Linked DNA regions of Schizosaccharomyces pombe. The gene in region 1 interacts genetically with each later gene. Each region holds a gene or a part of one and is shown in the gene's direction. Other genes may lie near its edges.

The links. Genes that interact genetically often act in the same process or in processes that back each other up.
Region 2: mutations in nup124 (region 1) and pfd6 together harm fitness more than expected from each alone (negative genetic interaction), as found in Schizosaccharomyces pombe (one large-scale study listed by BioGRID).

What each region holds. Positions count from the first base shown.
Region 1 is NC_003424.3:1,109,438-1,114,353, forward strand, and holds the start of nup124 (nucleoporin Nup124), read left to right. Parts: upstream 1-2,737; 5' UTR 2,738-2,776; coding exon 2,777-3,027; intron 3,028-3,070; coding exon 3,071-4,916. Other genes in the region: transporter Hfl1, read left to right, coding at 1-673; AP-3 adaptor complex subunit Aps3, read right to left, coding at 680-856, 1,319-1,372, 1,415-1,681. UniProt on the Schizosaccharomyces pombe protein: Nucleoporins may be involved in both binding and translocation of the proteins during nucleocytoplasmic transport. In S.pombe it is required for the nuclear localization of retrotransposon tf1.
Region 2 is NC_003424.3:3,440,157-3,444,580, reverse strand, and holds pfd6 (prefoldin subunit 6), read left to right. Parts: upstream 1-2,261; 5' UTR 2,262-2,293; coding exon 2,294-2,333; intron 2,334-2,383; coding exon 2,384-2,454; intron 2,455-2,463; exon of another isoform or gene 2,464-2,532; coding exon 2,533-2,657; exon of another isoform or gene 2,658-2,785; coding exon 2,786-2,894; 3' UTR 2,895-2,929; downstream 2,930-4,424. Other genes in the region: proteasome regulatory subunit Rpt5, read right to left, coding at 1-299, 485-637; kinesin-14 family minus-end directed microtubule motor Pkl1, read right to left, coding at 2,930-3,094, 3,220-4,424.

The sequences.
Region 1 (4,916 bases):
TTTCCCAAAATTCCTTTCCGTTAAAGCTATTATATTTGCCTCTTACTGGCAGCAAACCGTTCTTTCCATTACAAACTGGCTGGGACTTTTAAATGGAACAGGCTGGATTTACTCCTTACTAAATCAGAACGTTCTCATGTGTTTAGAAATGCCCTTTTTTGCCCTCTCACATTGGTACGCTTTTCGAATCGAGGATTACGATACACCCACATGGCTGTCTTGTGCAAGACTACCGCTCCTTAAAGCCTTTAAAGACGTAATCGGGTTGAAAGACGTCTGGTGCGATAGTTTGCAAACTCTACATGGAGATCGTTATGTATATCAAAATTTTGAGCCTGGGGAGAACTTAATACCTTCAAGAAACGATGGAAGGATTAATAGAACAAGTCATGGTCTTCGGTACAGTCAGGGAGGTCAATCGAAATACTGGATTTCTCGATATGATCAATCTCGAGTGCGTCTCATTAACAATAGTCAAAACTCTCCACAATCAAATAAGTCCTACTTTTCTATCCCAGGGATGTCAACTTCACATTTCGAAAATGGGCTCCAATTTGAAATAGACGATGAAATGGAACCATTATACAATCAAGCGAAACAGATGCGTTATGGTGATTATAATTATCCAGTTCTTCTAGTGAACAATACTCATGCATCTTCTTCATATACATAAAAGTCACTAGAACCTAGTAGCAAAAGAACTTAATGTATTGCTGAATGGCATTGCATTGGACCGTTTGGTTTTTGGCATTTGATTCTGAGCTGCCAAAACAATTTCATTCAGATTTGTCTCTAAGACAAGACCACCAGATACTACCTCAGCAAGAATAGCATGTATTTCTTGGAATTTAAAAACCTATATTGTGTTAGATCTTTCTAATTCGCTTTCAAACAGATGGCTTTCAACTCTTCTAATTATTTCTTCCTTCAATATCCTTTTTTTTTGGCGTATACACTTGTATTTGGATAATTATTACTAACACCTCCTCTTTTTTTTCATTGGAGATTGCGAATCATCGACAATGAGACTCTACTTCCAGTTCTATGCATAATTTCTTTCTTGAAGGCGATGAGAAGTAAAGGAATTAGGAATTAAACTCTTGTAGTTCCTAAGTTCAATAAATGATAAAAATAAATGTTATGCTCTTTTGATAATCGAATATTGGACAAACATTAATGTTTCTTGTAAGGCCAAATTTCCAAACATTCGAAACCAAATAAGAAAAAAACAAATTAAATAAAAAAAAACGGAATCAATGGTTTCAAACATATAGCAGTAGGATAATGGGAAGATAAACGAGTAGTGAAATGTACTTACCAAATCAAGCTCGCAAACATTATTAAAGCATCGATCTAATGCTTCAACAAATACCTTTAATAGTTAGAAATTGGAAAGTAACTAATTTCAACTTACTTGAATGAGATCGAGAATTCCTAGTTCACTTTCACCTTCATCTACTACAAAAACGAAGTAGAGAGTAGCGTACTGGCGATAAATTATTCTATTTTTACCTGCAATTAAATTACTTTCCAAAAAATTACAAGCGGTTGGGGGCCTAGTGGATACAGCTGCATATATATCTCCTATTAACTTTTGTTGAATGGATTCATCAATTGGAGTGTAAAACTTTGTGAGACGAGGTTTCCCTTTATTGTTAAATATAAAAACAGCGTAAATCATGACAATAGAAAGGGAAAGCTGGCAGAACCCAAATATGCAGTGCTTGGTAAACGGCAAGCTGAAGTTTAAGTTGAATATACGTTAATAGTAGTTTGGAAGAACCAGGATCGACAAATTTCTTTCAATGCCTTAGTTAATTTGCTATATTTAAGATTTTCATGGTTTTATATTTATTGAGTATATTATTTATCCACTATTGAACCAAAGATCTGTTACTGAAATTCATAATGTCTAGTAAACAATTTTTGCCATGCCTTCAATGATCTCTATAACGAACTACTTTGTATACAATTTAGGAATAGAAAAATAGGAAAAAACATTTGTCTTCCACCAATTTTTGAATTGATGGTTATGAAATATTCAAATAGCTACATAGTATGTGACATCTCAGTAATAAGTAGACACATACTAATAGTTATATGAGGTGATCCCACTATTCAGTTACTATAGGTATATATTGGTAGCTTTTTTTTGATTAATATACTAATTAAGTGAATATTTGCATAATATGATTAGCAATGAACGCTGCCTTGCTATATGGGAGGCACTTGTTTTAATCAACACTACTATAGATGATAGTAAAGCGAAATTCCAATTACGTACGATTAGACAGTACGTGCCTAAGTGTTTTTCTATGAAAATAGAACTAATCATTTCTTCATACAATGTAAGCTGATTTAAACGGAAGAATTTAAGTATTGCAAGTAAGTTGCTAGAATATTAGACAGCCTAAAACTTGATAAAGCGAATATTGACGAAGCTAAGGCTCGTGGACTACTGTTGCAATCACCACTTTACTGGTAACGAGATTAAATAGAATTTGATATCCCATTTTTTTAAACCGAAAACAAATTGTATTAACATATTCCATCTTGCTTAACACCTTCAAATAACTCCCTTTCTTCTCGTATTAAACATTTTTACGAAACGTGTTACAATAGTCGTACAGTTCCTACGACTACGATATTGGCATATAACAAATAGCGCTACCAGACAATCAATAAGTCATTAGCATGAAAAATAATTGCCACGTAACTAAACTCGCTACTTCTCATTAACCAACGTCTTCTAGTAGTTGTCGATGAGTTTGTATTGATGCCTCCTGTTTCAAAAAATACTCGCACTTCATCAAAGACTGTTAAGAAACCCTATGACCCACCTCAGGGGAGCTCAAGGCCCTTTTTTACGGTCTTGAAACGGGCATTTTCATCTGTTTTGCACCCATTCACCAGTGGTCTAGACGAGAAAGCTTCAGGAACGGCTAGCAAGGATAGAAAGAGTGGAAGAGCAGGTACAAAAAGCCTGCTTACTCCAGAGTTAACACCTCATTATTTAGGAAAATCTCCGTAAGTTGACATTTTTGTCGTGAAACATATTAACATTAAATAGAAGAATTATTCGCGTTAGTAATCGGAGCCATGTTAGAACAATTGATGGAATAGAGGAAAAAGTTCATACGAATACATTTGAACCTAGGAAGCCAAAGCAAAAGCAAGATTATACTAATTCCCCAACGCTTTTTAAACGCCATGACGAGTTGTCGTTAAAATCACTTAATTCGCTTCATCCTTCTTCTGCTTTATCCAAAAAGTTGGGCAGCACTTCTCAACATCAAATTGCAACTCCCAAATCCTCTGCTTCATTGCTCAATATCCTTCGGTCACTTCACGATGAGCAGAAAAATACCTTAAATATATCAAGTGTAAAACAAGATCGTATTACCGAAGCTAATCCTACTTGTGAGAAGCGCAAGCCTTCTAGAAGTCCCAGTCCTATGCTTTCCAAAAAGAAATCTGTTGCTCGTGCCTCTGAAAACGAGCCCTCAGCTAAGCAGAACAAAAGCTTTTCTGGAAATGATTCCCATAAGAGTCTTACCGACATTAGAGATAAGGAGAATGGCGAAACAGAGGTCTCAGCAAAAAATCACGTTCCTCACCGCTCCTCTCGGCGACGTCGTAGACACCAGCGGCTTATCCCTATCATTTATGAAACTCTTGAACAGATGGATTTAAGGAAGCCTGTATTAGTCAATGCAGAAGTTCAGACAGATTCCAACCCCGGTAATACAATGTTTATTGATAAGCAAGATATTTATCACCGGTTAAGTACACCCACTTCGCGTAAGCGTCAGACTCTCGAGAAAGGTCATATTAAGGCTTTTTCTGCAGTTGATGAGGATTTGGATGAAATCTTTGCTTGCGAAGATGACGTTCATTACACCGCATTACCCAAACAAAATCCAAAATCTGAGCGTATATTAGAACCTATAATAGCATCTCCCAAGGATAATACAAGTGACAAGGGTTTATTGACGAAGTCCGCCCCTACCTTTGAAGAGCTTCAAGCCTCTATTACCCCTAAGCCTGTAAAGACTTCTCCGAATGATACGGCACTTACTCTCGCGAACGCTGAGGATAATAAAACCTTTGAACATCAGCCATTGTCAAAGGATACAGAAGCGCCCAAAAGCCAATTTTCCTCATCGCCGACAAAAGAATCTACAACTAGAAAGTCCGAAGTTGAACCGCCATCACCTTCTAAGGAAATCAAATCTTCTCACTTTTCAGTACCCGAATTTAAGTTTGAACCGAAGACTGAAGCTACCACGGACAAAAAATTAAATGTACCCAAATTTGAGTTTAAGCCAACTGCTACTGCTGATGTGCAAACTAATCGTTTGAAGGAGAATGAGCCCAAGCCAACGTTCTTTGCACAATTACCGTCAAAGACTCAAGAGACGCCAAGTATAACTGAGAACAAGCCTTCATTTTTTTCTCAATTAAGTCCAAAACGAGAAGAAACAGAAAAGAAGGACAACGCTCCGTCTGCTCCTGCTTCAACTTCTGGTTTCAGCTTTGGAGGATTCGCACCTAAAACCCTTGAAGAGAAGGAAGAAACGAAAGCTCCTACGTTCAATTTCTCTTTAAACAATGCTTCTAGTACACAAGACACAACAAAACCTACGCTACAATTTAATTTTGGAAGTAGTTTTGGAAAGCCAACAAGCAATATTTTCAATGACAAAAAAACTTCTGAAAATGGTCTAGCTAGTTCTACTGTTGCTTCTGAGTCAAAACCGTCAGCTCCCGAATCAAAACCGTCCTCGGGTTTTGGAAATACCGCAGGCTCATCACCCTTTTCATTCAATTTGACCAAGGAGTCCAAAGAAGTCCCACCTACAAATTCCTTTTCTTTTGCTAAAAAAGGGAAAGATGAAGCGAATGACAGTTTGTCA
Region 2 (4,424 bases), 2.3 Mb from region 1:
CCAATAAGATCACCCGGATGAAGCTCTTCAGGTTCAACAAGACCGATTAAGGGAAGGAAGATGGTTTGACGAGTAGATGTCTTAATAACGGCTGACTTGCCAACACGAGTAGCCTCAGAGTTTTGGTTAGCTGATTCTTGGACATCAACTTCATCAGGTTGCATATCTAAAATTTCAACAACGTTTCCTACCAAATAAGGTAGCATCTTATTATTCGAAATTTTTTCTTGGTTTTCTTTGATTTTTTCGAGCATGGTGCTCTTTTCATGAGTTAATCTTTGAAACTCGGATTTCATAACCTACAATCTATGTTAGTGAATTTTACTTCTAGAAAAGAACATTCGACCGCATTCATCTTTCCACCTTCATTTAAGGATGAGGGCAAAACATTATCAGATCTTCGTTCTCTGTGAATAAAGAAATTATAAAAGAAAAAGATTTCGGTTTTCCCAACACTTATCTAGAGGTTCATTGAATGACTTACCTTAATATCATTTTCCAACAATCGTGTCCGACTATTCAATTCATCTATACCGGCGGCCAAAATTTCTTGTTCAATTCCATCCAAACCTTCATTATTGGAGGATCCTCCCTGCTGGGATTGATCTAGCGCGTCTAATTCTTCGAGAGTTGACATGTGTGTTCCGGTTAGGTTAAAACGACTAAGGCGTGTACTCCTATAGCATCATAAAAAAGTGTAGATTTTTATACATGATTATTATTTTTTTTATTCTTTATAATTTTTTTATAAATATAATTTCTTCTTATTTTGTAACTTGCATTTATTAGCATCGCTCTAGCAAGCATCCTTGTAGACAGCTTGGTAATCAAGGTAGTGATTATGTGTTACTAGAAAATGGTAAAGCTACGGATATTTTATTATAATTTACATGTTTCCCTTATTTTTTATAATTAATATGAAAGTAGTCCCACTTCTTCTCGATGATCTTTGAAACTGATGTTGCTTTAGTAAGTTATATTTGTTTATGTTATTGACATTAGTAGGAGAAATGTATGTCTTCAGTAAGAAAATTTATCCCCAAAAAGTGCATTAATGTAATTTCTTTAATTGAAACAAATACAATAATTAGATGTAACTGCTGATGAGGCATATAGCGGTGCTTAATATGCTTTTTCACAATTTCGTTTGATAATAGTGCAAACTTATTATTTTCTACCAAATATTTTATAAATAGTTTATTTTATTTTATAATTCCTTTTACTTCTATGAAATGAATAAACAAAATAAAAAAAAAAGAGAACTTTACATATATAATTAACTTCAAAACCTCTATATGGTAATATTTATACTTCACAACAAATTCAAGGATAAATATAGTAATTTTTCAAAGTTGACAGCAAATTTGCTTAGATGGAATATTATCTTACTCATGCTTAATATAATAATTCCTTTTCTAGAAGGCAAAAAATAAAAGCGACCACGGCGAGATTTGCACTCGCGATCTTTGGCGAACCTGGAGTCTCCTCCACCGGAAACCAACGCCTTACTTCTAGGCCACGAGGCCGCTCTAAGCGGCTGCTCTAAAATGTAATATATATATAGGAAATTCAAGTGTGAGTAATATGACAAATTGATGTTCTTCTAATTCATCAATCTATAACTTTTACGACAAAAGTACTTATTTTTTTTTCTTTTCTTTGTTTTTAATCTATTTTATACATTTATCCTTTTTTTCCCACTAGATTGTCTTTCCCAAATTTTCAAGCTAAAGAAGATCTAAGCTTACAAACTACTATGGTATTTCTATTTATTTTTAAAGAACAATGATATCTGAAGCTTTATCTCCATTCAAAATATTTCCTTTATATCTTTGAATATTAATAAGACATTTTTGTATTCATTAAAACGGTTTCATTATTTACGAATTGTTAATTCCAGAAGGATGCAGTTGAGAAGTGAACTAAAACAATATTTTTCATATCCTTTATTCAAAAAAAAGGTTTGCAATTCACTAATTTATATACTGAACCAAGTAGTTTTGTTGTATCAAAACAGTGAGTCTTTACTCAAAATTTCAGCAACACCTTCATTCACTCATTCATAAATCGATTTCCTAGTGTAGCTTACATTTCTCTGTTTAAATTAATTCGGTTTTATTTATTTCTCGTTTTTATCCAATATAGTCATAAAATCAATCATATCACACAATTAAAATATATTTTGTTCATAATATAGAATTTCAACGAACTTCGCTATTTCAGCTGACTTTCAAGGTAAGTAGAATGTCTCTTTACCTACTATCCTTTTACGTCTTTTTACACAGGAATAGAAATGGAGGAATTAGCTAAAAAATATCAGAACCTACAAACAGGTAAATCAAAACCTTCTGCATCGAATTAAATAATTAACGAAATTCCCAAGAACTAAGCACTTATGTCGAAAGTTTAAAAAAGTTGGAAACCCAATTACAAGAAAACACTACTGTCCTCAATGTACGTTAAGGCCACAAAAATTACTATTTTCCCTATTTTCTCCATTTATATTAGAATTGTTTTGTTAATGCGAATTAGGAATTGGAAAAAGTGGCTCCTGACTCAAATATATATAAGCAAATCGGTCCTACCCTTGTAAAGCAAAGTCATGAGGAAGCAAAGACCAACGTTAAAACAAGATTGGATTTCATTAATAAAGAAATGTATGTTTGTTGAAATTTGAAAAAGAAGAATTTCCTTGAGGTTAAAATCGCTCTCTAAAAATGCGAGTTGTACTTCTTCATTTGTATTATCGAATTGCGTATGTCATTTTATTAATTCATAATTATAGTGCACGCCTCGAAAATCAAACAAAAATCTCACAAGAAGAATTCAGCAAAGTTAAAGGTGCCATCATTCAAGCACAAGCAGCAGCTGCTCCACCAAACCCAGCATCTTAAATGCTTTGGTAAACATTTTTTACTCTAAAATAAGCTTAACGTTTATAATGTTTAATAGAACCTACTTTTGTATCATTGACTTTTGTTGCAAATCGCAGACTATTTAATGTATCCATGAATTGCGACTTTAAAGGAGACACATTAACAAACATCAGGGTTTTGGCACCTTTTCCAAGTGAATATTTTAACAAATAAGTTAGCTAATGTCTGGTTAGTACAAAAATGCTTTCAATATAGACTTTACACACTGCTGCAAAGCAAATAAGTAGCCACTTTGACAGTTAAAGAACGTGTTTCGTAAAGAACTTTTCATTCTAATACTCACCTTTGAATTTCGGTATGGTATGTGAGACTTTTCCTTCGTGGTACTATTTGAGGCATTTCCAAGTGCATGGATAACATCGCCAAGACAGCTGAGACTTTTATTAATAGCTTGCGTTTCTCGTAGTCTATCCCCAACTGCCTGACTGTAACTTAACCGCTCAGAACCTGCCAAATCAACTAGATTTAGCGTACCTTTACATATTTGTTTGGTTCTAGAATTTTCACCATCTATATACAGCATGAAAACAGTGTGTGATCTTGAAGACCGTTCATTTGCTTTTGTCGCTGCTATAAATCGATTTTCTCCTGCTCGATTTAGCATCTTGTAAACAGTATCTTCTTCATTAAAATCAATTATTGAAACGTTATCCACTGTTGTTCGTCTTTCCTTTTCATCATGATGAATATCGTGCTTAGGATTTTTCAACATTTCCGCTTTGTTTAATAGATCATAAATCGTTTCATTGTAAATTTCCAAAAACTGACCTCTCAATTTATACACCCACCCTTTCTCCCTCAAGGTTGATAGATAATTAAATATATGCTTAATTGACATCGCTATCATACCGTCTTGTGACGACATTGTGTACGTCTTACCCGATCCTGTTTGTCCATATGCAAATATACTAACATTATAACCATCAATAGCGCTTTGAATTAACTGTGATATTTCCTCAAAAACGGACGAGTTATCGCTTTCAGGAGCAAAGACTCGATCAAAGGAAAATTCATAATTACGATCATAAGTATGCCCGAGTGATGATTCAACATTAGGCCCTTTAAGAATAAGTTTTTGTGGCTCTAGTGCGTCTTTATCTGGAAATTGTAAAACATCAGCAATGCAATATTCGGATTCTTCACTTGGGAGTAGTGGTCTAACCCTACAAAAAACTCGAATATTTCCCTTTAGTTCTTGAATGTCGTTATGCAGCTTTCGTCTGATTATTTCTTCTGCTAACAGTTTATTATACATATCTTCATTTCTCCGTTCCAGCTGTTGGATTCGAGCTTGTAGTTCCAATGCGTTCTGGCCATTATTTCTTTCTTTATCTTGAATACTTGCAACATATTTAGAAAGTTCTTCAAGTTTTTCAGATGTAGAGTGGTGTTTATGCTCTTCCTTTAACAGTTTATTTCGAAGCATGTCAATTTCAGCTAACTTGTCTTCTAATTCTATACGCAGAGAGGAGATTTTTTCTTCATATT